Linked DNA regions of Saccharomyces cerevisiae S288C. The gene in region 1 interacts genetically with each later gene. Each region holds a gene or a part of one and is shown on either strand. Other genes may lie near its edges.

Region 1 (8,914 bases):
TTTTAAAATCGGGGCTATCCAATAGTTCCAATACTTTTTGTCCGACAGCACTAGTTTGAGCTTTATCATCGTTTCTCAGAGAATACAATTCATCGATATTGCTTAGTGATTTTTCGAGGCCATTGGCGTCCGAACCCAAGTCCAGCGATATTTCGGACCTTTGAAAGAAGTTACATTTCATTCCGACGCCTGCCATAGAGTGCTTCGTAATGTAAGCTATCAACATCTGTAGCACTTCGGGGTTCGTATCCCAGGCCCTAATGAGCCTCTTATGTGTATGTCTTTCAAAATTCTCTTTGGATTTAGCGTGCACGAAAGGTGATTTTATTACAGTCCACCTTTCTCTTCTCGTGGGCAAAGGTTTAGGACCTGTCAATGGGATACCCAAATAGTAACCTGTTCTAAGTATGAAGTCTGAATAAAAATCGAGGTTTTCATTGTCATACGATCTTAACTGAATGTCTGCAACTAAATCACCATATTTGATAGGTAACTTTAAAGGAGCATAGTAGACTGCCTCTACATTTACAGGATATGGGCGCGTCGACTGTGTTCTGATAAATGATCTTAATGCAATGGTATTTCTAAGCATTGGCCAATGTTTTTCCCCCTTTTCTGATTTTGCACGGTTCGCATAATTCTAATTTGTACCAAATAGTTTCATTTCATGCCCTTTCTTGCATTTTTTCCTTTTCAAAAGAAAATAGATGTACAGGTATTACCCGCCTGGTACATAGTTTGCTAACATTCTTGCCCAATCTCTCTGCTGTTAATAAAGGATGTGTGGATACATGACTAATTTCCGGATTAAACAGTGACGATAAGAAACGGTATGGCAAGAGTCAGAATTTGATAAGACTTCAGTAATATTGATTATCGGTCGAACTAAGCTACCCTCTTGGTTAAATTCTAATGACTACCAGTGTGGTCAATATTTTAGGGTTATCGGTGAACGATAACAAAATCCGTAATTGTTTCCTACGCTGGTTATTACTAAGTAGCCACTCGGTGGCTATCTCTAGCCGTTCATCAATCATGTCAAAAGTACAATCACTGAGCTTATTAAGTCATCCGCACGTGGAACTCACACAAGCCCCGAATTTTGTCAGCCATTCCGTGGAAAATCCTTTATCTCGTCACTCTTGTACGGAAGTTGCACCTTTAGCCCCACTCCCAGATCTTCAATCACAGAGGCAATGAGGGTGGCTGTGCAATGTAAACTTTCTTATCGCTTCCTGTTATGATTGATTACCATGCGCGGTAGAAGGATTGAATGAGGGGTGTGGGTGTGATAATTCATGTACGGACCCTTTCCTCCCAGAAGCTTCTGCACGAAGTGGTTACATTGTGAGTACAGGGTCTTAAACATCGCCGTGCGGCGTCATTTTGCGGGGCTCATCATTTATTTCCTACTTCTATGACGTTTGTTAGGGCAGGGATGTAGATTTTGGTCATATACTTTCACCTGACAGAAGAAAAAACAAGGTCTTAGAGCAGTATTCCCGAATTATTGCCTCTTTCCTTGGTGGGTGCGGGTTAATATTAGATGAACGGTGGGTTGTGGTCAAACCCGGGGTAGGTTTTAAAATGTCATGCGTTTTCGTCATTTACATAGATATATACAGGGAAAATATATATATATATATATATATATATATATACCTAAGGGAAACAATTTGAATAGATAAAAGGTCTTTTCCTCTTATTCCGTTCTTTCTTTTTAGAGTACTATTAATTTCTACTATTTCTCCTATCTTTCTTTTCTCATTAGTAATAGTCTAATCATTTATATTCTAATATTAACTTTAATAAAGCAGATATCTTCATCAAGTGAACTGTTCACACTTAATTCACATTTATTTGAGGCAACAATACGTATATTTACTAATTAAAGAAAAAACTTCGTACACAGAATTGAAAATTTTCGATGGGCGAAGGAACTACTAAGGAAAACAATAATGCAGAATTCAATGCTTATCACACGCTGACTGCAGAAGAAGCCGCTGAATTCATAGGCACAAGTCTAACTGAAGGTTTGACCCAAGATGAGTTCGTCCACAGATTGAAAACAGTGGGTGAGAACACATTGGGTGATGACACTAAAATTGATTACAAGGCAATGGTCCTCCATCAGGTATGTAATGCCATGATCATGGTCCTTCTAATATCCATGATAATCTCGTTTGCCATGCATGATTGGATTACTGGTGGCGTTATTTCTTTTGTTATCGCGGTCAATGTGCTCATTGGCCTAGTTCAAGAATATAAGGCTACCAAGACAATGAACTCTTTGAAAAACTTGAGCTCTCCCAATGCTCATGTTATTAGGAACGGGAAAAGTGAGACTATAAACTCAAAAGATGTGGTTCCAGGTGATATTTGTCTGGTGAAGGTCGGTGATACTATTCCTGCTGATTTGCGTTTAATTGAAACTAAGAATTTTGATACTGATGAATCACTACTGACCGGTGAATCTTTGCCTGTCTCCAAAGACGCCAACTTAGTGTTTGGAAAAGAAGAAGAAACCTCCGTGGGTGATCGTTTGAATTTAGCATTTTCTTCATCCGCCGTTGTCAAGGGAAGAGCCAAGGGTATTGTCATCAAGACAGCTTTGAATAGTGAAATTGGTAAAATTGCAAAATCTCTACAAGGTGATTCAGGTCTCATTTCCCGCGATCCTAGTAAGTCGTGGTTACAGAATACATGGATATCTACAAAGAAAGTTACTGGTGCATTTTTAGGTACAAATGTCGGTACGCCCCTGCACAGGAAACTGTCTAAGTTGGCGGTATTGCTTTTCTGGATTGCCGTACTTTTTGCTATCATCGTCATGGCCTCTCAAAAGTTTGACGTAGATAAAAGGGTAGCTATCTATGCCATTTGTGTGGCCCTATCCATGATTCCCTCTTCATTAGTCGTTGTCTTGACCATCACCATGTCTGTTGGGGCTGCTGTTATGGTTTCTAGAAACGTTATTGTAAGAAAATTAGATTCTCTGGAAGCTTTAGGTGCCGTTAACGATATCTGTTCTGACAAGACCGGTACTCTTACACAGGGTAAAATGTTAGCGAGGCAAATTTGGATCCCTCGCTTTGGTACCATAACTATCTCGAATTCTGATGACCCCTTTAATCCCAATGAGGGCAACGTGAGTTTGATTCCAAGGTTTTCACCTTACGAATATTCTCATAATGAGGATGGTGACGTTGGTATTCTCCAGAATTTCAAGGATCGCCTATACGAAAAAGATTTACCAGAAGATATTGACATGGATCTATTTCAAAAATGGCTCGAAACCGCCACTTTGGCTAACATTGCTACTGTTTTCAAAGATGACGCAACTGACTGTTGGAAAGCTCATGGTGACCCAACAGAAATTGCGATTCAAGTGTTTGCTACTAAGATGGACTTGCCTCACAATGCCCTTACCGGTGAGAAATCGACTAATCAAAGTAATGAGAATGACCAATCCTCTCTTTCACAACACAATGAGAAGCCTGGCAGTGCACAATTCGAACATATTGCTGAATTCCCATTCGACTCAACTGTGAAGCGAATGTCATCTGTCTACTACAACAATCACAACGAAACATATAATATTTATGGCAAGGGTGCTTTCGAAAGCATCATCAGTTGTTGCAGTTCTTGGTATGGTAAGGATGGTGTAAAAATCACACCATTGACCGATTGTGATGTCGAAACGATAAGGAAAAATGTTTACAGTCTATCAAATGAGGGTTTAAGAGTCTTGGGTTTTGCCTCCAAATCTTTCACTAAAGATCAAGTGAATGACGATCAATTGAAAAACATTACTTCAAACAGGGCCACCGCAGAAAGTGATTTAGTTTTCCTAGGGTTGATTGGTATTTACGATCCACCCAGAAATGAGACTGCCGGTGCAGTCAAGAAGTTTCACCAAGCTGGTATTAACGTTCATATGTTAACTGGGGACTTTGTGGGTACAGCAAAGGCTATCGCTCAGGAGGTTGGCATCTTACCCACCAATTTGTACCATTACTCCCAAGAGATTGTTGACAGTATGGTCATGACCGGATCTCAGTTTGACGGACTAAGTGAGGAGGAAGTGGACGATTTGCCCGTCTTACCTTTAGTTATTGCACGTTGCTCTCCGCAGACTAAGGTGAGAATGATCGAAGCTTTACACCGTAGGAAGAAGTTCTGCACAATGACAGGTGACGGTGTTAACGATTCTCCATCTCTAAAAATGGCCAATGTTGGTATTGCAATGGGTATTAATGGTTCAGATGTTTCCAAAGAAGCGTCTGATATTGTTCTAAGCGATGACAATTTTGCTTCTATTTTGAATGCTGTCGAAGAAGGTCGTAGGATGACGGATAACATTCAGAAGTTTGTCCTACAATTATTGGCAGAAAATGTTGCTCAGGCTTTGTATTTGATCATTGGTTTAGTATTCAGAGATGAGAACGGAAAATCAGTATTTCCCTTATCACCAGTGGAAGTATTGTGGATTATTGTCGTCACCTCTTGTTTTCCTGCTATGGGGCTAGGTCTAGAAAAGGCTGCTCCAGATTTGATGGATAGACCTCCTCATGATTCAGAGGTTGGTATTTTCACGTGGGAGGTTATTATAGATACATTTGCATATGGGATTATAATGACAGGGTCCTGTATGGCTTCATTTACTGGATCACTGTATGGAATAAATAGTGGTAGATTGGGGCACGATTGTGATGGCACCTATAACAGCAGTTGTCGTGATGTTTATAGATCACGTTCTGCGGCTTTCGCAACCATGACGTGGTGCGCTTTGATTCTGGCTTGGGAAGTGGTTGACATGAGAAGATCCTTTTTCAGAATGCATCCAGACACTGACAGCCCAGTCAAGGAATTTTTCAGAAGCATTTGGGGAAACCAGTTTTTGTTCTGGTCAATCATTTTTGGATTTGTGTCAGCCTTCCCCGTCGTCTATATTCCGGTTATTAATGATAAAGTGTTTTTGCATAAACCAATTGGTGCTGAATGGGGTCTCGCCATTGCATTCACAATTGCATTCTGGATAGGTGCTGAACTTTACAAGTGTGGAAAGAGGCGCTATTTCAAAACTCAGAGAGCGCACAACCCGGAGAATGATTTGGAGAGTAACAATAAGCGCGATCCATTCGAAGCGTATAGTACTTCTACTACAATCCATACAGAAGTTAATATTGGTATTAAACAATGATAGGCAGGGCCTATTAAGTGCTCCCTATCTTTTTCCTTATTCATTTCATATATTTAGATATTTACATTTATTTTGTTATTTGTTTTTTTATTTACTATAAACGAACTTTTCACAGGTTCTGAACATAAACAAGCCTAAATAGTATGTTTTCTAGTTCAAATATGTCTTAGAGGAATACTACTGCTATACTCTTATTGCTGCCGTTGTAAATCATGAAACAGATACAGTTACGTTACGCGTATGACAGGGTTCTTAACTAAAATTATGAATTTCAATACAGGATTAGTTAAATTCTTGTAGAATTAGAAAATTAATGCGTTTATTTCGTCAAGACTTTTCCTTCCAGGACGTTCAAATTCAACTCACATATATTCTTTTATCAAAATCCTTATATCACCGCGCGGTGTAATTGTGAGGCTGATGTTTTCTTCTTTAAATCTCCATATTATCTCTCGAGGCAAAGAAAGAGGAAAGAATTTTATTTTCCTTCATCCTTTACATCGAGAATACGTTAACCAAATCAACGTTATTCATATTCGTATTTTGCTTATCAGATAACGTATGTACTCACTGAGGAAAAATCTTTGTACACATAATTGAAAATTTTCGATGAGCGAGGGAACTGTCAAAGAAAACAATAATGAAGAATTCAATGCTTATCACACATTGACTACAGAAGAAGCCGCTGAATTTATAGGCACAAGTCTGACTGAAGGTCTTACTCAAGATGAGTCCCTCCGCAGACTGAAAGCAGTGGGAGAGAACACATTGGGTGATGATACCAAAATTGACTATAAAGCAATGGTCCTCCATCAGGTATGTAATGCAATGATTATGGTCTTGGTAATATCCATGGCGATCTCTTTCGCTGTGCGCGACTGGATTACTGGTGGCGTTATTTCTTTTGTTATCGCGGTCAATGTGCTCATTGGCCTAGTTCAAGAATATAAGGCTACCAAGACAATGAACTCTTTGAAAAACTTGAGCTCTCCCAATGCTCATGTTATTAGGAACGGGAAAAGTGAGACTATAAACTCAAAAGATGTGGTTCCAGGTGATATTTGTCTGGTGAAGGTCGGTGATACTATTCCTGCTGATTTGCGTTTAATTGAAACTAAGAATTTTGATACTGATGAATCACTACTGACCGGTGAATCTTTGCCTGTCTCCAAAGACGCCAACTTAGTGTTTGGAAAAGAAGAAGAAACCTCCGTGGGTGATCGTTTGAATTTAGCATTTTCTTCATCCGCCGTTGTCAAGGGAAGAGCCAAGGGTATTGTCATCAAGACAGCTTTGAATAGTGAAATTGGTAAAATTGCAAAATCTCTACAAGGTGATTCAGGTCTCATTTCCCGCGATCCTAGTAAGTCGTGGTTACAGAATACATGGATATCTACAAAGAAAGTTACTGGTGCATTTTTAGGTACAAATGTCGGTACGCCCCTGCACAGGAAACTGTCTAAGTTGGCGGTATTGCTTTTCTGGATTGCCGTACTTTTTGCTATCATCGTCATGGCCTCTCAAAAGTTTGACGTAGATAAAAGGGTAGCTATCTATGCCATTTGTGTGGCCCTATCCATGATTCCCTCTTCATTAGTCGTTGTCTTGACCATCACCATGTCTGTTGGGGCTGCTGTTATGGTTTCTAGAAACGTTATTGTAAGAAAATTAGATTCTCTGGAAGCTTTAGGTGCCGTTAACGATATCTGTTCTGACAAGACCGGTACTCTTACACAGGGTAAAATGTTAGCGAGGCAAATTTGGATCCCTCGCTTTGGTACCATAACTATCTCGAATTCTGATGACCCCTTTAATCCCAATGAGGGCAACGTGAGTTTGATTCCAAGGTTTTCACCTTACGAATATTCTCATAATGAGGATGGTGACGTTGGTATTCTCCAGAATTTCAAGGATCGCCTATACGAAAAAGATTTACCAGAAGATATTGACATGGATCTATTTCAAAAATGGCTCGAAACCGCCACTTTGGCTAACATTGCTACTGTTTTCAAAGATGACGCAACTGACTGTTGGAAAGCTCATGGTGACCCAACAGAAATTGCGATTCAAGTGTTTGCTACTAAGATGGACTTGCCTCACAATGCCCTTACCGGTGAGAAATCGACTAATCAAAGTAATGAGAATGACCAATCCTCTCTTTCACAACACAATGAGAAGCCTGGCAGTGCACAATTCGAACATATTGCTGAATTCCCATTCGACTCAACTGTGAAGCGAATGTCATCTGTCTACTACAACAATCACAACGAAACATATAATATTTATGGCAAGGGTGCTTTCGAAAGCATCATCAGTTGTTGCAGTTCTTGGTATGGTAAGGATGGTGTAAAAATCACACCATTGACCGATTGTGATGTCGAAACGATAAGGAAAAATGTTTACAGTCTATCAAATGAGGGTTTAAGAGTCTTGGGTTTTGCCTCCAAATCTTTCACTAAAGATCAAGTGAATGACGATCAATTGAAAAACATTACTTCAAACAGGGCCACCGCAGAAAGTGATTTAGTTTTCCTAGGGTTGATTGGTATTTACGATCCACCCAGAAATGAGACTGCCGGTGCAGTCAAGAAGTTTCACCAAGCTGGTATTAACGTTCATATGTTAACTGGGGACTTTGTGGGTACAGCAAAGGCTATCGCTCAGGAGGTTGGCATCTTACCCACCAATTTGTACCATTACTCCCAAGAGATTGTTGACAGTATGGTCATGACCGGATCTCAGTTTGACGGACTAAGTGAGGAGGAAGTGGACGATTTGCCCGTCTTACCTTTAGTTATTGCACGTTGCTCTCCGCAGACTAAGGTGAGAATGATCGAAGCTTTACACCGTAGGAAGAAGTTCTGCGCAATGACAGGTGACGGTGTTAACGATTCTCCATCTCTAAAAATGGCCAATGTTGGTATTGCAATGGGTATTAATGGTTCAGATGTTTCCAAAGAAGCGTCTGATATTGTTCTAAGCGATGACAATTTTGCTTCTATTTTGAATGCTGTCGAAGAAGGTCGTAGGATGACGGATAACATTCAGAAGTTTGTCCTACAATTATTGGCAGAAAATGTTGCTCAGGCTTTGTATTTGATCATTGGTTTAGTATTCAGAGATGAGAACGGAAAATCAGTATTTCCCTTATCACCAGTGGAAGTATTGTGGATTATTGTCGTCACCTCTTGTTTTCCTGCTATGGGGCTAGGTCTAGAAAAGGCTGCTCCAGATTTGATGGATAGACCTCCTCATGATTCAGAGGTTGGTATTTTCACGTGGGAGGTTATTATAGATACATTTGCATATGGGATTATAATGACAGGGTCCTGTATGGCTTCATTTACTGGATCACTGTATGGAATAAATAGTGGTAGATTGGGGCACGATTGTGATGGCACCTATAACAGCAGTTGTCGTGATGTTTATAGATCACGTTCTGCGGCTTTCGCAACCATGACGTGGTGCGCTTTGATTCTGGCTTGGGAAGTGGTTGACATGAGAAGATCCTTTTTCAGAATGCATCCAGACACTGACAGCCCAGTCAAGGAATTTTTCAGAAGTATTTGGGGAAACCAGTTTTTGTTCTGGTCAATCATTTTTGGATTTGTGTCAGCCTTCCCCGTCGTCTATATTCCGGTTATTAATGATAAAGTGTTTTTGCATAAACCAATTGGTGCTGAATGGGGTCTCGCCATTGCATTCACAATT
Region 2 (7,345 bases), on another chromosome or scaffold:
TGATGAACGATAATTTTCAACAAGTATGATAGTTGAGTACTCGATGGGACATTTTCTGCCCATTTCTAGAAAGTTGTGCGCTAAGGCGTTTCTGAAAGCATATATGCTTTGATCAGGATCACCTACGATGGTCATCCCCCTCGAAAGATGATGATTTCCCTTAGCAAAAAGAAACATCAAGTCCAATTGAATGCCGTTAGTATCTTGAAATTCGTCAACTAAAACATGCTTTATGTTGGATAAAACACGCACTCTAGTCAGCAAACGAAAGGTGTACATTAATAAGTCATCAAAATCTAACGTATTTTTCTTGCTTAGCTCTGATTGGTATATTTGGTAAAAGTAACCAAGCGCGGCGTCATGATTCGAATCTAAGATGTATTCCTCAGGTAATATTGCGTTTGATTTTAGCTTTGATATCTGTTTCTTGATCAGCTTCGGATGAATAGTCCATTCATCTCCATTTTTACTCGGCATACAAAGATTTACTTTCCTTGTGATTGAGGAAGCATAATCCCTTATTTGGTCGGGAACTTTTTCGATCATATCATCTAAAATGACATCTATTTCCTTCTCATCAATAATTCTCCAGTCTTTCTGTAGATCCACCAAGTGGCCAAATCTATAAAGTATTTTCAGGCAAATACTATGAAAAGTACCAATTAAGAGCTCCGAAATATTCACGCCTGCCCCGCGTAACATTTCTTGCAAACGCTCTTTCATTTCGTTAGCAGCTTTGTTAGTGAAAGTAGTCACTATAATATCGCGGGGATGAATATGGTGGTGCAGAATAAGATACGCTACTCTTGAAGTTAAAACCTTAGTCTTCCCTGTGCCGGGACCGGCAATGACCTGCAGCCCTCTAGTGTAATCAAAGAGGGCCGCTGCTCTCTGTTGAGTATTTAACTGGGATACTAAATGCAACCAAAGATCATTGTTCGACGACATTTGCTATCCCTAAGTACCGGTAGAAGAAAGATCAAATTGGAATGATACTCAAAGTGCAGAGTACAATTATGGATGGCAAAAGAAACTAGAGGGACAGGAAGCTGTCTAAAAGCTGTAGAGAAATATTCTTATCTTGCCGACTGCAAATTTATCGAGACTCTGCGAAGGTAGCCTAAGCAGTAGTATCAGGATAGCTGGAGGTAACTCTAAACTCGCTCCTATTCTTCTTCAGCATCGTTCTAATTGTTGTCACTTTTGTTTGTTTTGGTTTTTTTGGGAGTTTTTCGCATTCGCGTCTCGTTACCCTAGCATGTTTTAAGCGGCGCTATCATTATGGTTGAAGAGAAAGTTGTAGTTTATCAACAGTTAGATACTTGATATACAATACGAAGCAGTGGTTGTGTATACAAGTGAAGTACTCAATGTAATATACATTACCTGAGTACTCAGTACCATCTTGGTTATTCAATATGGCAAAAATGCCTGACCCTATGTATCTTTTTCCATCAAAAATAGCCGCATCTCGTAGATCGTGAGCAGATGTCTTCACTCCTTTCTAGCAGTATAACAAAGCATATTTCTTGTATTTATTTTACCGATTTCTATATATATGACAAGGTTCATGAACAGCTTTGCCAAACAAACGCTGGGATATGGCAATATGGCGACAGTGGAGCAAGAGAGCTCAGCTCAGGCTGTTGATTCTCATTCAAACAACACACCGAAGCAAGCTAAGGGTGTTCTTGCAGAGGAACTAAAGGATGCATTGCGGTTCCGGGACGAAAGAGTTAGTATTATTAATGCAGAGCCTTCTTCAACACTGTTCGTCTTTTGGTTTGTGGTTTCATGCTATTTCCCTGTGATTACTGCCTGCTTGGGTCCCGTAGCTAACACTATCTCGATAGCCTGTGTAGTTGAAAAATGGAGATCCTTAAAGAACAACTCCGTGGTGACAAATCCACGAAGCAATGACACCGATGTTTTGATGAATCAAGTAAAGACAGTTTTTGATCCTCCTGGTATTTTTGCCGTTAATATCATCTCTTTGGTACTGGGTTTTACGTCAAATATTATACTAATGCTACATTTCAGTAAGAAGTTGACGTATCTTAAATCTCAGTTAATAAATATAACAGGATGGACAATAGCTGGAGGGATGCTTTTGGTGGACGTGATTGTATGCTCCTTGAATGACATGCCCAGCATCTACAGTAAGACTATCGGATTTTGGTTTGCCTGTATCAGTTCTGGTCTATATTTGGTATGCACCATTATTTTAACAATACATTTTATTGGATATAAATTAGGAAAATATCCTCCAACGTTCAACCTTTTGCCCAATGAAAGAAGTATCATGGCATACACTGTACTATTGTCTTTATGGTTGATTTGGGGTGCGGGTATGTTTAGCGGTTTATTGCACATCACTTACGGAAATGCATTATATTTCTGCACGGTATCATTATTAACCGTGGGACTAGGTGACATCCTGCCCAAGTCGGTTGGCGCCAAAATCATGGTTTTAATCTTTTCGCTATCTGGTGTTGTCTTGATGGGTTTAATAGTGTTTATGACAAGATCCATCATTCAAAAGTCCTCTGGCCCAATTTTCTTTTTCCACAGAGTTGAAAAAGGCAGGTCCAAATCGTGGAAACATTATATGGATAGTAGTAAAAATTTATCTGAAAGGGAAGCGTTCGACTTAATGAAGTGTATCCGACAAACGGCCTCAAGGAAGCAGCATTGGTTTTCTTTGTCGGTGACTATTGCAATTTTCATGGCTTTTTGGTTATTGGGAGCTCTTGTATTCAAATTCGCAGAAAATTGGTCGTACTTCAATTGTATTTACTTTTGTTTCTTGTGCTTATTAACCATTGGATACGGAGACTATGCTCCAAGGACTGGTGCAGGCCGTGCTTTTTTTGTGATTTGGGCGTTGGGAGCCGTGCCATTAATGGGGGCTATCCTATCTACAGTCGGTGATCTGTTGTTTGACATTTCCACTTCTCTGGATATTAAGATCGGTGAATCATTCAATAATAAAGTCAAGTCCATCGTTTTTAATGGGCGTCAAAGAGCACTTTCCTTTATGGTGAACACTGGAGAAATTTTCGAAGAATCTGACACAGCTGATGGTGATCTGGAAGAAAATACAACGAGCTCACAATCCAGTCAAATTTCTGAATTCAACGATAATAATTCAGAAGAGAATGATTCTGGAGTGACATCCCCTCCTGCAAGCCTGCAAGAATCATTTTCTTCATTATCAAAAGCATCTAGCCCAGAGGGAATACTTCCTCTAGAATATGTTTCTTCTGCTGAATATGCACTACAGGACTCGGGGACCTGTAATTTAAGGAACTTGCAAGAGCTACTTAAAGCCGTCAAAAAACTACATCGGATATGTCTGGCGGATAAAGATTACACACTTAGTTTTTCCGACTGGTCGTACATTCATAAACTACATTTGAGGAACATTACAGATATTGAGGAGTACACACGCGGACCCGAATTTTGGATATCACCTGATACGCCCCTCAAGTTCCCGTTAAATGAACCTCATTTTGCTTTTATGATGCTTTTCAAGAACATAGAAGAATTAGTTGGTAATCTAGTAGAAGACGAAGAGCTTTATAAAGTTATAAGCAAAAGAAAATTTTTGGGTGAGCATAGAAAGACACTTTGATATACAAACACCCGAAGCATTGATTTATATCTTACTGTAGACTACTACGGATGTATTCTCTAAATATTTATATTCAGCATCTCAAAATAAATACTGAAAGCATTTTTCTGCTGTAAATGCGCTTTCAATATTATGCACCCGTTGCGTCTCGCATTAATGTGGCTGAGCTCCAGTAAGGGAAAATAAAAAACAAAAACTGTTCGCTTATTATATCATCTCTTGTTGCTAAAGCACACATCAAATGATACCAACGATTATTATTATTACGAAGTTGTATTATTTATATTCTATCAAATGGCAAACACTGTAGGAGGAATTCTGTCGGGTGTAAATCCGTTCCACTACAACTCCAGTTCGCCGCTTACATTATTTCTCTTTCAAGCATGTCTCATACTACTGGTATGCAATTTAATTCACATTCCCTTTTCAATGATGAGGCAGCCTAAAGTCATTTCAGAAGTTATATCTGGTGTTATTTTGGGGCCTACTATATTTGGTCAAATTCCAAACTATACAAACACAATTTTCCCTACATCATCGATCCCGGGGCTAAATTTAGTGGCGAATTTGGGAATAATACTGTTTATGTTTTTTTTAGGTTTAGAAGTGGATATTGCTTTCATCAAGAAACACCTAAAGAAAGCACTCGTGATAGGTATAGTCACTTTAGCAGTGCCATTCGGTTTTGGTTGTCTGCTGGCGATTCCTTTATTTCACACTTATGCAAACAAAACAGAAGGCGAAAGGCATATTAAATTCTCTGTCTTCATGGTATTTATAGCTGTTTCCATCTCCGTTACGGCTTTTCCAGTTTTATGTCGTATTTTAAATGAATTGCGCTTGATCAAGGATAGAGCAGGTATCGTTGTCCTTGCGGCGGGTATCATTAACGATATAATGGGATGGATTTTGTTAGCATTAAGTATTATTCTTTCTAGTGCAGAAGGGAGCCCTGTCAATACCGTTTATATTCTGCTTATCACGTTTGCATGGTTTTTGATTTATTTCTTTCCCTTAAAATACCTATTAAGATGGGTGCTCATAAGGACCCATGAATTGGACAGAAGCAAGCCTTCACCGTTGGCAACGATGTGCATTCTATTCATCATGTTCATTTCTGCTTATTTTACGGATATTATTGGAGTTCATCCTATTTTTGGCGCCTTCATTGCTGGCTTAGTAGTTCCTAGAGATGATCACTACGTTGTTAAATTAACAGAAAGGATGGAAGATATTCCTAACATTGTTTTCATTCCAATCTACTTTGCTGTTGCAGGATTAAATGTCGATTTGACTCTATTAAATGAGGGAAGAGATTGGGGCTATGTTTTCGCCACAATCGGCATCGCCATTTTCACCAAAATTATTTCAGGTACTCTTACAGCTAAACTTACTGGCTTATTTTGGAGAGAAGCCACTGCAGCCGGTGTTTTGATGTCATGCAAAGGTATCGTTGAAATCGTTGTCTTAACTGTTGGTTTGAATGCGGGCATTATCAGTAGAAAAATATTTGGTATGTTTGTGTTGATGGCATTAGTTTCTACTTTTGTCACTACTCCTCTGACTCAGCTTGTTTACCCAGATTCATACCGGGATGGTGTTCGCAAATCCTTATCTACACCTGCAGAAGATGATGGTGCAGCAGATGGTCTCGATTCTGAGGGTGTGGACAAGACTGAAATTAACACTCAACTTAATTCATTGGCAGATGTTAGCAAATATAGAATTGGTGAACTGACCACGGTGATAAACACTACAGAAGCGATCTCTCCATCTCTAAAGCTGCTAAATTACCTGTCTTTAGGGGTATCTCCCAAGCCTAAGAATAATAAACATAAGAACGAAACCTCCTTGAGCAGAATGACAACAGCTACTGATTCCACATTGAAATCTAACACATTCAAAATAAAAAAGATGGTTCATATCTGGTCTAAAAGCGTTGACGATGTGGATACCAATTTAAGTGTTATAGATGAAAAATTGACCCCGTTTGAGGGAGTCGGTGCATTGAGGGCCATTCATTTACGATTGCTCACTGAACGGACAACTGATCTGCTGCAATCATCTTCTCTATATAATGATGATCCCCACTTTACCGCAAATACAGATTCACTATTACAAATTTTTGATATATTTTCAAACCTGAGCAAAATACCATTTTCAAGTGAAGTCATATTTTCTACAATGCGTGAAAAGGCAGCTAATATAGCGACGATGAAAATGGATTCCACAGATCTGATCTTATTGCCATTAAAAGGGGCCTCGTATGAGTATAGAGGGAGCCCAGTCTTCATTGATGAAAAATACGCAAACTTTGATCACATTTATTCTCATCTCCTAGGTCTGAATGAACTATCATCTACTTTCTTCAAGTCTATTTTCCAGTCACTCAAGGCAAATTTTGCCGTTCAAATTTCAAATACCTATGGCAGATTAAATGCTGATCGCTTTAAGAGGAAACGGTTCAATTTATTACTTCCAAAACCATACCTGACACAATCCGATTATCTTGGACTATATCTTCTCTTATTGATATGCTATAGAGATGGCTATAATAATGATAATGCATCCTGTAGTATATTTATTAACAGCAAGAATATTGATTTCGCAAAAGATTTGTCAACTGCATTTGCTGAGCATGACTGGCTAAACGAATCTACCATTAAAATTGTGGATATCCCCTTTGAAACGAAAGTTCCAGAAGAAGCAATTGAAAAGCCGTCCTTTATAGAGACTGTGCTTGATGTTGGTTTATCAGATACTGCTTTAGCTGATATAGAGGAGACTACCTTTATTATTGGAGAGGACCTTCCTGATGAAAGTGAGCCCTTCAGCGAAGAGGTGAGGACTGTAATATTTGAAGGGTCGAATCGTCGTTTTGACACCCTTATTGTGCACCATTTTTCGTCTGAATAAGTATCAGCAGAAATTTTTTAATTTTCTTTGTTCTTAATTTTCAGTCATTCCGTCATTCCGTCATCTATGTTTATTGTTCTATATTATTACGTATGCATAAATATCTTAAGTATAGATCGATCCTAATAGCTATTCAGTTTTATTCTCCTGAGAGGTTATCCTTAATTTTGAAGAGTTTAACTTATCATTTGACTTTATAAACTTCGCGAGTCTGGTAGATTTGAAATTGAATGTTTCATTTACTTCACTAAAAGGATGAGAAAGAAGCTCGTTAGCGGTTGGCCTTTTCTCTGGATTTATCTCGAAGCATGCGTCCAGAAAATTTCGTCCGATTTGCGATATCAATGGTAAAGTGTCCTCAGGAATTGGTGGTGCCGATTTTGACTTTCCAATTTTGAACATGGCTGCGACGACTTCTAAGTTGGACCACGGGCGCTTACCAGCAAACATTTCCAGAACGATGCATCCCAGAGACCATATATCAACTTTTGCACTGTAGCCTTGCTTTGTATCAACCATTTCAGGAGCCATCCAGAAGACTGTTCCTCGCATGGTCATATCCGAATTAGAGTATATGTCCTTTGATTTTCTTGAAATTCCGAAGTCACTGATTTTGCAGATACCATCTTGATCCAAAAGTAAGTTGTCTGCCTTCATATCCCTGTGGAGAATACCTTTCGAGTGTAGGTATGCCAATCCTTTTAATACTTGTGTTGTTAAATGTTTGATCAACGGTTCATCGAATCTTCCATACATTCTAATCAAGGATCCCACGGAGCCACCAGCAACATATTC
Region 3 (7,559 bases), 880 kb from region 1:
AAATCGAACATTCTCTTTGCCGGTACAATAAACGTTGGAATCGGAAAATTAGTACACAGTTTATCTGTCAGAAAGTTCGATTTCCAACGAACTAAGCTGTCTGTTCTCTCCCACCTCAAAGTGCTAGATACAAAGAAATCAGGTAAATAGATGTTTATTGCCTCAAGAAGCGTTTTTTTAGTCTTGCCAATTAGGATCTCGACAGTGACCTTGACAGAACGATCTTGCGGAATTATGAGTGTAACATAATCAAAAAGATCTTGCAATTTACGTTCTATTTCGTTCTGCGTATAACCAGATGTCCACTCGATAAAATTTTGGTGCTTTAATTTGTTGTCAGATTCCTCAGGCCCCAGAGAAAGTGCCCTTCTTGTACATATGGATCGTGATCTCGATCTGGATCGTGATCTTCTTGCTGAGCTAACACTCCTGCTATCATCCATCATCATTAGCATTCTTTTTCGCTCACTCATCGAATCATTGTCTTCGAAATTATTCTTAGTCAGGCGGGGCAGGTTTGCCAACACAACAATGTGGTCTGTATTTTGAATCAAAGTTCGTAGCGCCCAATCTAGTGCTACCCAAGTATGTTTCCTGCCGCTGATGTGGCACAATATCGTTCGAGGAGTGTTCGGGAACCCAACCTTTTCGCTCAAAACACGCTCTTTCCGCTTTTGAGACTTAGTCAAAGGCGTAAAGCCGTCTTCTATGGGAGGATTGAATTTTATTGTGGGAGTAGCGCCCTCAGACGACTTTTTTTTGTTTGGAGGAAACAGTATTGTTGGGTAATTGAAGAAATCGCGCTTTTGTTCTAATCGATGATCTATCTGATTTTTCTTCTTGATCCATAGTTGTCTCCAATTGGCATACGCCCTACTAATCACAAGAGCGTCATTGATATCGGTGGGTGTAGTAGGATAGTCTTCCCTTACAATTTTACCATTTTCAGAAATCTTAAACATCTTACCTATTTTGATGTTTCTTTTAGAGGCAGGAGGTGGAGAAGAATACCTGCCGGGACTAGCACTGCCCTCTCGCCTACTCGAATAGCTATTCCCGGAGAAGTAGTCGGCATTGTTGTCCGAGGTAAAGCCACTTTCGTCGTCATAATATTCCTCCATTGTATAATCTGCAGAGATCTGCACGCCAGGAAATTCTCTTTTCTCTTCATCTAAGGGCGAAGATACCCTTGATCTGGGAACTGTGTTGAAAGATACGCATGGTAGGTACTTTTCGTTGCTGCCTTTCCCCTTCTTTTTGACGGAACTGCTCGAGTCCAATATCGAGGCTAGACTGCGCCTGTCATCATTGTTGGACTTGTCCTCGTCCTGCTTAGCGAGTATGTCCACCGTATCCTCCAGCTGGTCCTGCCTGACATACAGCTTAACATATTTATAAGAATTTCTCAACGCCTCATCTTGATCTCGTACCACCATTTCCCCCTATGTTTTAGTATCTTCTGTTCCTTGTACTTTAAAGATTCCTTCCCTTAAAAATAGAAGAAAGCTTCTATTTGTTGATATTGCTTTCGAATAGTGAGTGGACTCAAGAGAAGAAAAAAACCTTTACAAAAATTATATGCAAAATATGTTGGAAAAGACAAAAGGGTTTTAAGTTGTGTTTACTAAAAAGTATATAGATAATTCTAGAGGTTATTGAGACATGCAGAATGCGTGTGCCACACCACCGCAGGTGGGTCATTCGGAAATTGTTCCTGTTGCTGCAGCGTCTGCTGCACTTTTCGCTAGAACTTTTCCAGTCGGATAGGGAGACAAAATGAAAAAAGGCCTCGGACTAATTAACTGACCCTTCGCCAAGAGTGCGAGCCTTAGTATCTAGACGTCTCGCAGGACCGTAACCTTCGAGGAGACCTAGAAGAAGCCACTCGGGCACGAACTCGCCAGGAACACGGTAGTACTTGAGCCTAGGGACGACGAAAATGAGCGTCTCGAGGGCGTGAGTCAGGAACTCGGCAACAATGATGAGTCGCAGCACAAGATCACTATCCAGCCACGCCTCTAAGGTGGAGCCCACAGGATTAGGGACCAGGAAAAAGATAGCGTGCAGTGCAGGACGATAGAGGTAGCACAATGGCGGTAGCGCCACGCCTACCAGGATCAACAAGTCTACTAGAGTGCAGGGGTACTCAACAGTGTCGATCTGGATGAGCGACAGCTTCCTCTTCTCCGCAGCGATGCGGAACATCTTGTTGAAGATTTGCTTGATTCCGGTAGCAGTGCGGGTATCGTTGCCCGTGTCATTGTCAATGAAGTAGATAATCTTCTCGATGTTCTGACCCGTTTCTGTGTGAAGGAACTTGAGCGTAAACGTGGACGTCTGCGTGTCGATCTCTGTCAGTCTGACATGCTTGACGGCCTTGGTAATGGGAACGTGGCCAAAAACGGCGAGACAATCCTCCAGCCCCAACTTGTGCGTATCGTTGATGCTTACAATTAACGAATCCCACATACTTGTGTATACCCGTATACTTGCTTGAGTTGATAGAACGCACGCTCTCGCCGATATAAGCCTCCACTCTTTATATATACCATATCCAAATAGGTGTGCACTTTGTGGCAAGGAGTAATTATAAACGAACAGAATATCCCGACCACATGGCAAGACCAAGAAAGTTCAAGACTGCGCAAGAAACGGCAGAACAGAAGCTGCTCACTAACTTCAACCTTGTAACTGAATTCGTAGGGTTAAAACTCCACCACGTTTGTAGCGGAGCAATGTCGCCTTTAAGAAGTCGCTAGCTATCTCTTTCGCCTCCGTATAGCAATCATTGTCTAATGCAATCCGCCATCGTTATGTCCGCGGCTTTTGTCTGGAGGGCAAATCACGATAGGAAGAGGCATCTTCTGTAGTAAAGGCGTCTGTAGTAAAACCTTTTCTTGGAAGCCATAACAAATCATGGCCACCAATGCCTGGCAAAAAAGGGTGGCATTGAAGGGAAATTTCAAAGATTTTTTTAATAGAGGCCCTAGGAAAAAACATGTCCGTACGTTTAGATACGGTTATAAACTGTACAATCATTTGCTATCAAATGCTGAACCTTCCCCAAGGGACTAAAAGCTGGAAATGGCAGTGTGCTACTATTTCTTTTAGTCGTATATTTAACTCTCGATCTTGCAGGCTATGATGTCCCATATGATGTCCCACATGACGCAAGTAACTTCAAAAAAAGAGGAATTGCGTGGCGGCGTGGATGCAAAAGGATGGGCGTGATGATGGGACTCGAGACCTGGTTTTACTCAATGTTAGTCATATGTATATAGTCCTTATAGGCCCATATTAGAAAGTACATGTCATAGTTACCCTCTGCAGTTTTTCTCGTAGCGGAAGGGGATGGAAATTTTTAACGTAAAAGAAAGTTGGTAAGAGTATGGCACATCAACAGGTAGCGTTATAGGGGCCAAGACATAGCTTTGGGCTTAGTACTGTAGGCTTGTTACCAGAACTTTCATTTATCGAAATATTCTTTTTTCACATTTCCTCTTACTGCGCATTCGTGTCCAAACAGTCATTCAGGAAGTATAACGATAAACAATAGATTGAAGCCTGAAAAAAAAAAAAAAAGCACGACAATAGAAATTGTTTCAGTGTCATTGGCTTTTGATAATATATAGAGGCTGTTTCAATAATCATAGCGAAAGAAATAGAAGTTTTTTTTTGTAACAAGTTTTGCTACACTCCCTTAATAAAGTCAACATGAGCAGTAACAACAACACAAACACAGCACCTGCCAATGCAAATTCTAGCCACCACCACCACCATCACCACCATCACCACCACCATCACGGTCATGGCGGAAGCAACTCGACGCTAAACAATCCCAAGTCGTCCTTAGCGGATGGTGCACATATCGGGAACTACCAAATCGTCAAAACGCTGGGAGAGGGGTCCTTTGGTAAAGTTAAATTGGCATATCATACCACTACGGGCCAAAAAGTTGCTCTAAAAATCATTAATAAGAAGGTTTTGGCAAAGAGTGATATGCAGGGCAGAATTGAAAGAGAAATATCTTATCTGAGACTCTTAAGACACCCCCACATCATCAAACTGTATGATGTTATCAAATCCAAAGATGAAATCATTATGGTTATAGAGTACGCCGGGAACGAATTGTTTGACTATATTGTTCAGAGAGACAAAATGAGCGAGCAAGAGGCAAGAAGATTTTTCCAGCAGATCATCAGTGCCGTCGAGTACTGCCATAGGCACAAAATTGTCCATAGAGATCTGAAGCCTGAAAACTTACTACTAGATGAGCATCTGAATGTAAAGATTGCCGATTTTGGTTTGTCAAACATCATGACTGATGGTAATTTCTTAAAGACTTCTTGTGGTTCTCCCAATTATGCGGCTCCTGAAGTTATCAGCGGTAAGCTGTACGCAGGCCCAGAAGTGGACGTGTGGTCATGTGGGGTTATCCTTTATGTTATGCTTTGTCGTCGTCTACCGTTTGACGATGAAAGCATCCCAGTGCTTTTCAAGAATATCAGCAACGGTGTTTACACCTTGCCTAAATTTTTATCTCCTGGAGCTGCTGGGCTAATCAAAAGAATGTTAATCGTTAATCCATTGAACAGAATAAGCATTCATGAAATTATGCAAGACGATTGGTTCAAAGTTGACCTGCCAGAATATCTACTTCCACCAGATTTGAAACCACACCCAGAAGAAGAGAATGAAAATAATGACTCAAAAAAGGATGGCAGCAGCCCAGATAACGATGAAATTGATGACAACCTTGTCAATATTTTATCATCGACCATGGGTTACGAAAAAGACGAGATTTATGAGTCCTTAGAATCATCAGAAGACACTCCTGCATTCAACGAAATTAGGGACGCGTACATGTTGATTAAGGAGAATAAATCTTTGATCAAGGATATGAAGGCAAACAAAAGCGTCAGTGATGAACTGGATACCTTTCTGTCCCAGTCACCTCCAACTTTTCAACAACAAAGCAAATCCCATCAAAAGAGTCAAGTAGATCATGAAACTGCCAAGCAACACGCAAGAAGGATGGCAAGTGCTATCACTCAACAAAGGACATATCACCAATCACCCTTCATGGATCAGTATAAAGAAGAAGACTCTACAGTTTCCATTTTGCCTACATCTTTACCTCAGATCCACAGAGCTAATATGTTAGCACAAGGTTCGCCAGCTGCCTCTAAAATATCTCCTCTTGTAACGAAAAAATCTAAAACGAGATGGCATTTTGGTATACGATCTCGCTCATATCCATTAGACGTTATGGGTGAAATTTATATTGCCTTGAAGAATTTGGGTGCCGAATGGGCCAAGCCATCTGAAGAGGATTTATGGACTATCAAATTAAGGTGGAAATATGATATTGGAAACAAGACAAACACTAATGAAAAAATACCTGATTTAATGAAAATGGTAATTCAATTATTTCAAATTGAAACCAATAATTATTTGGTGGATTTCAAATTTGACGGCTGGGAAAGTAGTTATGGAGATGATACTACTGTTTCTAATATTTCTGAAGATGAAATGAGTACTTTTTCAGCCTACCCATTTTTACATTTAACAACAAAACTAATTATGGAATTAGCCGTTAACAGTCAAAGCAATTGATGGTGGAACGTAAAAGAATGATATGGAAGTTCCCTTTTTTTTATGTATCGTAACGTATTTGCAACATCTTTATAATATCCCTTTGTATAAAGTAAACAATCTTGATTAAATAAACCTGAACATAATTTATTGATGTGAATGTTCTTTTATTGGCATTATTTCTTCGGATGAAAAGCAAATTTCACGCTCTATGAGAAAAATTGAAAACGCTATTCTATGTGAAAATAGAGATGAGTACTACTAGTGGCTACAATAAAAATACTGAACCTTTGACAATCGTACAACAAAAGGATCCCAAAAATGAATAAAGACCAGGCAGAAAAATATCAAGAACGGAGTCTGCGACAAAAATACAACCTACTACATGTACTGCCAACACTGAATTCCAGAGCGTTATCGGGACTATACTATAAAAATTTTCATAATTCTGTGAAGCGATATCAAATCATGCTGCCAGAACAACTGAAAAGTGGGAAATTTTGCTCCCATTGCGGGTGTGTTTACGTTCCTAATTTTAACGCAAGTCTTCAGTTAACGACTAATACCGAGCAAGGTGACTCCGACGAACTTGGCGGCGAGAGTATGGAAGGACCAAAAAAATGTATCCAGGTTAATTGCTTGAATTGTGAAAAGTCTAAATTGTTTGAGTGGAAATCTGAGTTCGTTGTTCCAACATTTGGACAAGATGTTAGTCCGATGATCAATAGTACCAGCAGCGGGAAGGTTTCGTACGCGGTAAAGAAGCCCCAAAAGAGTAAAACTAGTACTGGTAAGGAGAGATCCAAGAAGAGAAAGTTGAACTCACTTACAAACCTTTTATCGAAAAGAAATCAAGAGAAAAAAATGGAAAAGAAGAAAAGTTCGTCACTGTCATTAGAAAGTTTTATGAAAAGTTGACTGTATCATCAGTGAACATATAGTATAACAAATCAAGTTTATATAGTTGAATTGAGAGTGTCTGTTAGCTCTTCGATTGACGGATAAGATGCATCCGCGTCGATATTGTTGAGATTAGGAATAGTACCGTTTATACTTTCCTCATCAGCGCGGTCATCATCACTACTGTGAGTTAGACCGCCACTCATTGAACCCTTCGTCACGCCATGTACGCCTTGCCTATATGTTTCTTCCCTCAATGGATTAACTACTTCCTCCTCACCAAGGTTTGAAGAAATACCAGAATCCAGTTTTTTCCGCACGCAACTGTTGGTCCACATTCGCCTTCTATATGAGCCCCTTTGTCCATCAAGATTGAGGTCATAGACCCATTTTGTTTCTGAATCTATCTCGACATACTGAATAAATTCGTCCTCTACCCATTCTTTTGGATCCAAATCAAGCACCCAATGAGAATTGGCTTCCCATTCCCAATCCTTAGGTGGCTCAATTTCTTCTAATGACTTCACTGAATTTTCCTCAATACGCCTCTGGTATATTCTCAAACTAGAGAAAAGAGAATAATCGTCATCAGAGAATCCAACTGGGCGCCATTCTTTGTATTCAGGAAGATACTTTTGGATCTCAAAGATCATAACAAGTCGGTGCTCCCTAGCCTCAATGAGTTTCAAATGCTGCAAAATCTTAGATTCCAGATTAGTACTTATAGTCAAAGTTTTTAATCTTGTCTCCTCCGAATTCAATTTAGTCAACAAATATTCACGATTGGACGGATGCGAGGCAATAAAAAAACCCCAACCTAGCAGTATCAGTACGGGTCTCATTGGAATGAGCTTGATAAATTTATCCATGTACAGAAAATTTAATGTTGCTATTATTAACAATACAATAAAATAAAACGACGAAATAGCCTCGTTGGTGAAGAATGCAAACTTTTGTAATATGAGTAAAGTAAAATCGTAGAATTTAACATATAGCAGCATATGGTTTTGTAAATCCGTGAGGTTTAAGACAAATTCTTGGCTCAGTTCAGGGACTGGTTTAGG
Region 4 (8,460 bases), on another chromosome or scaffold:
CTTCTCCCGAGAAATTTTGTGAGATCATGATGTCCCAATCAATGAAAGAGCTTCGACAAAGCTTGAAAACAGTGGGGTTGAAACCTATGAGGACGAAGGTTGAAATCATTCAATCCTTACAAACTGCATCTCAAATTCTGTCCACAGCTAATCCAGATAATAAAGGTGAGCATGGTGGGGTGGCAAATTTCAGTAAGATAGAAATATTTGATCATTTAACCGAACTAATTGAAGCCTTCCCTGATTTTTTGGAGCGAATATATACCTTTGAACCCATTCCGCTAAATGAGCTAATTGAAAAGCTGTTCAGCGCCGAGCCATTTGTTTCGCAAATCGACGAAATGACCATCAGAGAATGGGCCGATGTTCAAGGAATATGTCTGAGAAACGATAAAAAGTAGTGCCGAATGATTGAGAATTTGACAAAACAAAAACAAAACAAAACAAACGTTACGTATAGATGAAGAATACACGTACACAAATATGCATATATACCGTCATGAAGTAGCTTAACTTAAATAAAAGTTTTTTTTTTTTAGAGTTACCAATATCGCAAACATGAAAATGAGAATAAAAAAAAAAAAGCAGAAAAAAAAAAAGCATAACATGGAGAAAAAAATAATAAATAATTGAGTTTAGTTGAGACGCCGGTCTTCGCCAGGCCAGGAATTGTTTCACCAGGTCATTCTCTGCAAAGCCTTTACTTTAACATTTAGATTCTTCTTCTTGGCGGAGCCGCGACCATTGCTTCTCTTTTCGTCTGATTGTTTGCTAGTCGAAGAGACGTTACAGTAAGTACCAGCTTTCACGTAAACAGCAATGTCGTTGTCGTCGCCATGTTTGAAGCAGCATCTTCTGCCATAAGGACAATAACCTAGTTTCTCCCAATTCACACAGGGCTTCGTCCTGAAATTCTTGCACGATTTCTTAACCTTTAATTCGCCGAGTCCGTGAGCAAACTGACACTTACTGCCATAAGGGCAACTTCCTTTTAAAGTGAATGATTCGCACAGCTCTGTCTTGTATAATTGTTTGGGAGTTTCCTGCACTTGGCTTTTCACCTTAGGTTGAGCTGAGGATTCCTTCTCTGATGAAAAAGAAGCATCATTTTTGGGCTTTTGTTGAGACAACTGTTGCAAATTCTGTGAAGTTAATGGTAATTGTGAAGATTTTGGGACATAGTCCGGATTTATTTGTACCTCTAGTTTCTTTTTAAAAGTAGTAGGTGCCGTGCTATTCAGGTGAGCGGATGGGAGAAAAGGGTTCATTAACTGTGGATCATACAGTAGCCCCGGTTGAATAGCGTTTGTATTTTTTGGTGGAGAGAATGAAACTGCCGAAGATATTTCACTGCTTGTTTCCTGTATGTTATCCTCGTTTAAAATCGTCTTGTTGTAATACTCCTCCAGTTCCCTAATATTGATCTGGTACTGGTAGTCATTTAATGGATTTTGCTCTTGATCTGTGGAAAACAACGACGTTAAGTCAGTCTTCTGAGATTCTGGTCTAGTATATGATAATTGAGCCCACATATTGCGTTATTTTTTACGTATTGAGTTTGCAGCACTGTTTCGCTTTCTCTCAAGATGCACAAATACGACCTACCAAGAGCCTCCAAGTCCCACCAACGATTATGTCTTCTCTCAAATATATATACAAGTTACATGTAGAGAAATCGAGACGAGATTGCTGGCACAATGCACCCAACTGCATGTGCCATTGTGCATCTACACCTCCAAATTAGGGTGTCGATTGGCGTCGTCTTCTTTAATGTGGGTGCATTTTGCGGCGGCGCGACAAATATAGAGAACTGACCAAGGCAGTGCTGTCAAGAAGAGAGAATGGTTACGGCAGCGAAGACGCAAATGGGCTAGGCAGAATGGCATTCAAGTTATGGCTACTGGATGAGGAAACAATATACGAGCACGTGTTCGAACGGTACACACAATTGGAGGGCCAGTCCGGGAAACTGGCGCAGGATTTGGGTATTCAGGATAGAAGGGGCGGTGTGCTAGAGATAACGTTTGAACCCTCTGGGCTGGAAGGCGGCAGAAAAAAAAAGCGAGTGAGAAGAAGAAATAAGGCTAGTAGTGTTGAAGAAGATCAGAATGTTGCTGTGGATAGCTATCATGTTAGCGTGGGGCAGTCCATATCAAGCTTGCGCTCGTCCAGAGACAACGGAAACTCCACCACAGGATACGTTTTGTGGTCTACCACACCTTTCTTCATCAACTGGCTGCTGTATAGTACTAGCGCTGCACCTTTCCGTCTTGGGAGTCAGGTGGAAGTAACCTGCGGGTCTTCTTGCGAGGGGCACAAGCTTGAGTTGCCCAGGCTGGTCGACCTCACGGGCGCTGATCGCGGCAAGAGAGGTATCTTGGAACTTGGAGCAGGAATATCAGGTATTTTGCCCGTGATTCTTGGTAACTTCGTCGACACCTACGTGTCGACAGATCAGAAGGGCATTCTTAATAAATTAAAAGATAACATCATGGAAAACTTATCACAGTTGACCAGAAAGCGGTGCATTTCCCGATCACTAAGATTGGAACTTCCCACCGTCGAACCAGTTGGCGACGCTGATATCACCGCAGCGTCACTTCCATCTAAGTCTACGTTGCATTTGGAAGTAGCCGCTCTAGACTGGGAGAAGATAAACTTGCAAGACAAAAAGACCCACTCTCTGCATCCTGAGTTGTCACTCATAGGTGAAACATGTTCTTCCGTGTACGTTATAGCTATGGATGTCATATACAACGAGTACCTGATAGATCCGTTTCTGAAGACGCTCAAGCAACTCAAACACTGGTTACAAACTACCTACAATTTGCAATTCCATGTCCTCGTGGGGATACACTTGCGGTCACAAGAGGTGACAACACTGTTCTTGGAGAAAGCCATCATAGAATATGACTTCACGGTTTATGATATCGTTGACCAGGTCATACAAGAGTCCCGTTTTAACTTTTATCTTATCACCTAGTCCCATATATAATAATAGAAACAATATAATGCTGATAATCTTATTTTTCTTTGCGATGCGGCAGTGCCTCTTCCCCTCCGTACGGATTGGGAAGATTTTCATTTTTGATTAGCAAGGGCACTAAGCCAACTCTGTGTGATATAGCTAATAATCTAAAAGCTGCTGGATCCGTTATCGTCAAGATAAAGCGGACTTAGCGATTTACATAGGATCACACTTTCTACACACATTTGATTTTTAAGCTTCATTTTCCACTGCACTTATTTTTCCCAAGCATCGTGTTTTTTTGTACATTATAAAAAAAAATCCTGAACTTAGCTAGATATTATGGCTATCTGGGAGCAACTAGAAGTCTCAAAGGCGCACGTTGCTTATGCATGTGTTGGTGTCTTTTCATCTATCTTCTCTTTAGTGTCACTTTATGTCAAGGAGAAGCTTTATATTGGTGAGTCCACCGTAGCAGGTATATTTGGGCTAATTGTGGGTCCTGTTTGCTTGAACTGGTTTAATCCTCTGAAATGGGGGAATTCAGACAGTATAACATTAGAGATAACGAGAATAGTATTATGTTTGCAAATTTTTGCCGTTGCCGTGGAACTGCCACGGAAATATATGTTGAAGCATTGGGTATCTGTGACGATGCTATTATTGCCAGTGATGACAGCTGGATGGCTTATTATTGGTCTCTTCGTTTGGATTCTTATACCTGGCTTGAATTTTTCTGCTAGTTTGTTGATATCTGCGTGCATTACCGCAACAGATCCTATTCTGGCGCAGTCGGTCGTCTCCGGTAAGTTTGCCCAAAGAGTACCTGGTCACTTAAGAAATCTACTGTCTGCAGAGTCAGGCTGCAATGATGGTATGGCCTTTCCTTTTTTATTTCTTTCTATGAATTTAATCCTACATCCCGGTAATGGAAGAGAAATTGTCAAAGATTGGATTTGCGTTACTATCCTGTATGAGTGTTTGTTTGGATGCTTGCTAGGTTGCTTCATTGGTTATGTAGGCAGAATCACCATCAGGTTTGCCGAAAAGAAAAACATTATCGATCGTGAGTCGTTCTTAGCATTTTACGTTGTCCTGGCGTTCATGTGTGCTGGGTTCGGCTCCATTTTGGGTGTGGATGACCTATTGGTATCATTTGCAGCCGGTGCGACTTTCGCTTGGGATGGGTGGTTTTCTCAAAAGACACAAGAAAGTAATGTTTCTACCGTGATTGATTTGCTACTAAACTATGCGTATTTTATCTATTTTGGTGCCATTATACCTTGGAGTCAATTCAACAACGGTGAAATTGGCACAAACGTCTGGCGTTTAATTATACTTTCGATAGTGGTCATCTTTTTACGTAGGATCCCTGCAGTCATGATATTAAGACCTCTTATACCTGATATAAAATCGTGGCGTGAGGCACTTTTTGTGGGCCATTTTGGTCCTATTGGTGTAGGTGCAATTTTTGCCGCTATACTAGCTCGTGGAGAATTAGAGTCTACCTTTAGTGACGAACCCACTCCTTTAAATGTTGTACCATCAAAAGAGGAAAGTAAACATTGGCAGCTGATAGCCTGTATATGGCCAATAACTTGTTTTTTCATTGTTACTTCTATCATAGTTCATGGTTCTTCAGTTGCAATCATAACTCTAGGTCGTCATTTGAACACGATAACGTTAACCAAAACATTCACTACACACACCACCAATGGTGATAATGGGAAAAGTTCATGGATGCAAAGGTTGCCATCGTTGGATAAAGCTGGACGATCATTTTCATTGCATCGTATGGATACTCAAATGACTTTATCAGGGGATGAAGGTGAAGCAGAAGAAGGAGGAGGTCGTAAGGGACTAGCAGGAGGTGAAGATGAAGAAGGATTAAACAATGATCAAATTGGTAGCGTCGCAACGAGCGGAATTCCTGCAAGACCCGCTGGTGGTATGCCAAGGAGGAGGAAATTGTCAAGAAAAGAGAAAAGATTGAACAGAAGACAGAAACTGAGAAACAAAGGTAGAGAAATATTTTCATCAAGATCTAAAAATGAAATGTATGATGACGATGAGTTGAATGATCTGGGACGAGAAAGGTTGCAAAAAGAAAAGGAAGCACGCGCCGCCACATTTGCATTGAGCACAGCCGTCAATACACAACGTAATGAGGAGATTGGAATGGGTGGAGATGAAGAAGAAGATGAGTACACACCGGAAAAGGAATATAGCGATAATTACAATAACACACCAAGTTTTGAGTCGTCTGAAAGATCTTCATCTCTCCGAGGAAGAACTTACGTACCAAGAAACCGTTACGATGGAGAAGAGACAGAAAGCGAGATTGAAAGCGAAGACGAGATGGAAAATGAAAGTGAAAGATCAATGGCCAGTAGTGAAGAGAGGAGAATTCGAAAAATGAAAGAGGAAGAAATGAAACCTGGTACTGCTTATTTAGATGGTAATAGAATGATTATTGAAAATAAGCAAGGTGAAATCTTGAATCAAGTAGATATCGAGGATCGCAATGAGGCGAGAGATGACGAAGTTAGTGTTGATAGTACAGCCCATTCAAGTTTAACTACCACAATGACCAATCTATCCAGTAGTAGTGGGGGAAGGTTAAAGAGAATTTTAACTCCCACATCTTTAGGAAAGATACATTCATTGGTTGATAAAGGAAAGGATAAAAATAAAAACAGCAAGTATCATGCATTTAAAATAGACAATCTGTTAATCATCGAGAATGAGGACGGTGATGTTATAAAAAGATACAAGATAAATCCTCATAAATCTGATGATGATAAAAGTAAAAACCGCCCAAGAAACGATAGTGTTGTATCAAGAGCTTTAACAGCAGTAGGACTAAAGAGCAAAGCGAACAGCGGCGTACCGCCTCCAGTAGATGAAGAAAAAGCCATCGAAGGACCCTCCAGGAAGGGCCCAGGGATGTTAAAGAAAAGGACATTAACACCTGCGCCACCGAGAGGAGTTCAAGATTCCTTAGATCTGGAAGATGAACCTTCATCTGAGGAGGATTTAGGTGATAGTTATAACATGGACGATAGTGAAGATTACGACGATAATGCATATGAATCAGAAACTGAATTCGAAAGACAAAGAAGGTTAAATGCGTTAGGTGAGATGACGGCACCAGCGGATCAAGATGACGAAGAGTTGCCGCCCTTACCTGTGGAGGCACAAACAGGAAACGATGGTCCAGGTACAGCGGAAGGAAAAAAAAAGCAAAAGAGTGCTGCTGTTAAGTCGGCGCTATCAAAAACGCTTGGTCTCAATAAGTAATTTATTAATACACAAAGATATATTATTTTAGTATATATATAAACGAAATGCCTTTTTTATTTACATGTGTCGGAAATAGAGTAGATGCGGTAAAGAGGGGGAGGGGGGGGGGGTATGCGGTTTTGTCATTACTCTTTTCCGTTAAACTTAAAAGCTTAAAACATCATTGATAAAGGTTTTTAGTGAGGTTTCACTGGGGTTCACATTGATGAAATCTAATTGTCTGTAGGAGCCATTGTTCAAAAATCCGCGGCTGATATCTGAATATTGAATGATGTATTTATCATCTTGGGCAGTGTTCGTAGGAAATCGTAAATTCAAGACACGATGGGTCAAAACATCAGTCAATTGGTATTGCTGTATTAGGTTATCTGGTAAAGAAATGTTGATTTTTTTCATAAGATTCTGATATTTGTTTAACTTCCAGTGTGACTTGAGAAGAAATTCTTGGAGGCCTTTTTGTTCAGATAACCAAGCATCCGGATTGGTCTGGTCGAAATCAGGTAAAAGATCTTGAATGTAATCTGACGTGATCTTATAGTCTGTCTGGCATTGTGGAGTTCTTAAGATAACAGAATTTTCTTGTAATTTCAAAAGAGGCCTCATTGAGGTGGTAACAATGTTATCGAATTCGTCAATCTCGAACCAAATCTGCAAAAAAGGGGACGAGGAGGAGCCAGAGGTGGGCGGCACAGGAGTGAAGTTCAGCTGTATGAAGGATTGATGCGCATTTGTTATTAGATGTTGATCAAGAGGCACAGGCACAGGTACGGCTGATGATGATGATTCTTTGTACATTGGTAGATTCAGTAATTTTGAAATAAAACTCTTATGTATTAGAGGTTGGAAAATACTAGAAAAAGACGCGGACTGTAAGGAGTGACCTAGCGTTATTGATAAAGATTGGGAAATAGAGTCGGAAGGGGAGAGAGATGGTATATTTTTAGACAAGGAAGATTCGAATTGGCTGACCTGCGCATCTGTCAATTCTGGTGTGGCGTTTTCAGTGGGAGTCATCAGATCTGTGCAATTTTTAGGGACAACTGACTGTAATCTTGCCCAATCTTGTGACTTGTTTAGCCAGTCCAAGTTCTCTAGAGTATTGTTGAACGGATAGAGTTCTGTCTTGAGTGCTGGTGAGGCTATTGTGTGGTGGTGTTGAGTTGTGTTAGGATTAGAAGCGACGGCATTTAATAAAAAGACTTTGGCCATGGATATTTTCTTGGTGCTTAGGGCTGAAATCTTGTACATTTGCAAGTCCGGGAGGTATTCAAAAAAAGTGTGAGTTTCCTTCTGAATAAGGTTGATGACGTCTTTTGATGGCATGAGGGAATACATACGCACATTTTCATGAGTGATGTTTGACCATATTTTGTTTAAGGATATTTCTGCGTATTTGAGCAAGCTAGGCGAACCCTTGACGGTCAATTCGTTATCCTGAATGGAGATGATGAATGTCAGCCCGAGCTTATTGAAGTTGGTGAGTATTTTACCATTTTGAGTGATGAGTAAAAGGAAAATTTCTCTAGGAGAATCGAACTGGAAAGTCAATGATGTGGACTTGATGCCTGTGGGAGTGGTGGGTGTTGAAATTGGTTGGCAATTCCAGATTTTTTCAATTATATATTGGGACAGCTTGCTTTTCTTCCAGTGCGTCAGATGTGAAGAGGAGTCTGGCTGATGTGTGGAGATGAACTCGCGCAGTTGGTAGCGATTGTAGCTTGATGTAAGCGATTGGAGAAGGGCATTGTATTCCAGGGAGGGCAGACTGGCGCTTGTCGGTTTCTTCAATCGGATGGAGTTCAATGCGGAATCTAGTGAATTCTGCTTTTCGAAGACAAGGAGTTTCGAGCCGAAATCGAGGTTGTTATCTCCAGTTTCCTTATGGCTACGTTTCTTAGACGGCCTGTGTCTAGGCTGCTTCTGATCATTTTTCACTAGCCCAGATTGGGTAGGGTTCAAGACGACGAATTTCAGATTTTGCGGCAGTTTCTTCTTCCCATGAAGGGGCGAGCTTGGGCCTGAGCTTGAATAAAGACGGTAAGTAAGACGGGCGAGCTTTTTGTTGAATTTCCACATATGCTTACTCTATATTTTCTCCAGTGCCTTCAAGCTCCGTATATATTATGTACTAGTTTTATTACATTAAAGATACATAACTTTTTTTTTTTTTTTCAGTTCACTGAAATAAG

Evidence for each region.
Region 2: of ENA1 (region 1) and TOK1, changing one enhances a phenotype caused by changing the other (phenotypic enhancement), as found in Saccharomyces cerevisiae (2 studies listed by BioGRID).
Region 3: of ENA1 (region 1) and SNF1, a mutation in one rescues a mutant of the other (synthetic rescue), as found in Saccharomyces cerevisiae (2 studies listed by BioGRID, with this or other methods).
Region 4: mutations in ENA1 (region 1) and NHA1 impair growth when combined (synthetic growth defect), as found in Saccharomyces cerevisiae (6 studies listed by BioGRID, with this or other methods).

What each region holds. Positions count from the first base shown.
Region 1 is NC_001136.10:531,481-540,394, reverse strand, and holds ENA1 (Na(+)/Li(+)-exporting P-type ATPase ENA1), read left to right. Parts: upstream 1-1,927; coding exon 1,928-5,203; downstream 5,204-8,914. Other genes in the region: mitochondrial 37S ribosomal protein uS10m RSM10, read right to left, coding at 1-592; Na(+)-exporting P-type ATPase ENA2, read left to right, coding at 5,813-8,914. UniProt on the Saccharomyces cerevisiae protein: Catalyzes the hydrolysis of ATP coupled with the export of sodium and potassium from the cell. May export potassium less efficiently. May transport other cations such as lithium.
Region 2 is NC_001142.9:251,026-258,370, reverse strand, and holds TOK1 (Tok1p), read left to right. Parts: upstream 1-1,558; coding exon 1,559-3,634; downstream 3,635-7,345. Other genes in the region: DNA helicase SRS2, read right to left, coding at 1-948; KHA1 (Kha1p), read left to right, coding at 3,929-6,550; mitogen-activated protein kinase kinase kinase BCK1, read right to left, coding at 6,680-7,345.
Region 3 is NC_001136.10:1,408,659-1,416,217, forward strand, and holds SNF1 (AMP-activated serine/threonine-protein kinase catalytic subunit SNF1), read left to right. Parts: upstream 1-3,714; coding exon 3,715-5,616; downstream 5,617-7,559. Other genes in the region: JIP4 (Jip4p), read right to left, coding at 1-1,436; YDR476C (uncharacterized protein), read right to left, coding at 1,795-2,469; SNM1 (Snm1p), read left to right, coding at 5,917-6,513; PEX29 (Pex29p), read right to left, coding at 6,552-7,559. UniProt on the Saccharomyces cerevisiae protein: Serine/threonine protein kinase essential for release from glucose repression.
Region 4 is NC_001144.5:415,127-423,586, forward strand, and holds NHA1 (Nha1p), read left to right. Parts: upstream 1-3,310; coding exon 3,311-6,268; downstream 6,269-8,460. Other genes in the region: SLX4 (Slx4p), read left to right, coding at 1-401; TIS11 (Tis11p), read right to left, coding at 675-1,532; RKM5 (S-adenosylmethionine-dependent methyltransferase), read left to right, coding at 1,880-2,983; SLS1 (Sls1p), read right to left, coding at 6,416-8,347. UniProt on the Saccharomyces cerevisiae protein: Sodium export from cell, takes up external protons in exchange for internal sodium ions. Also capable of exporting potassium ions.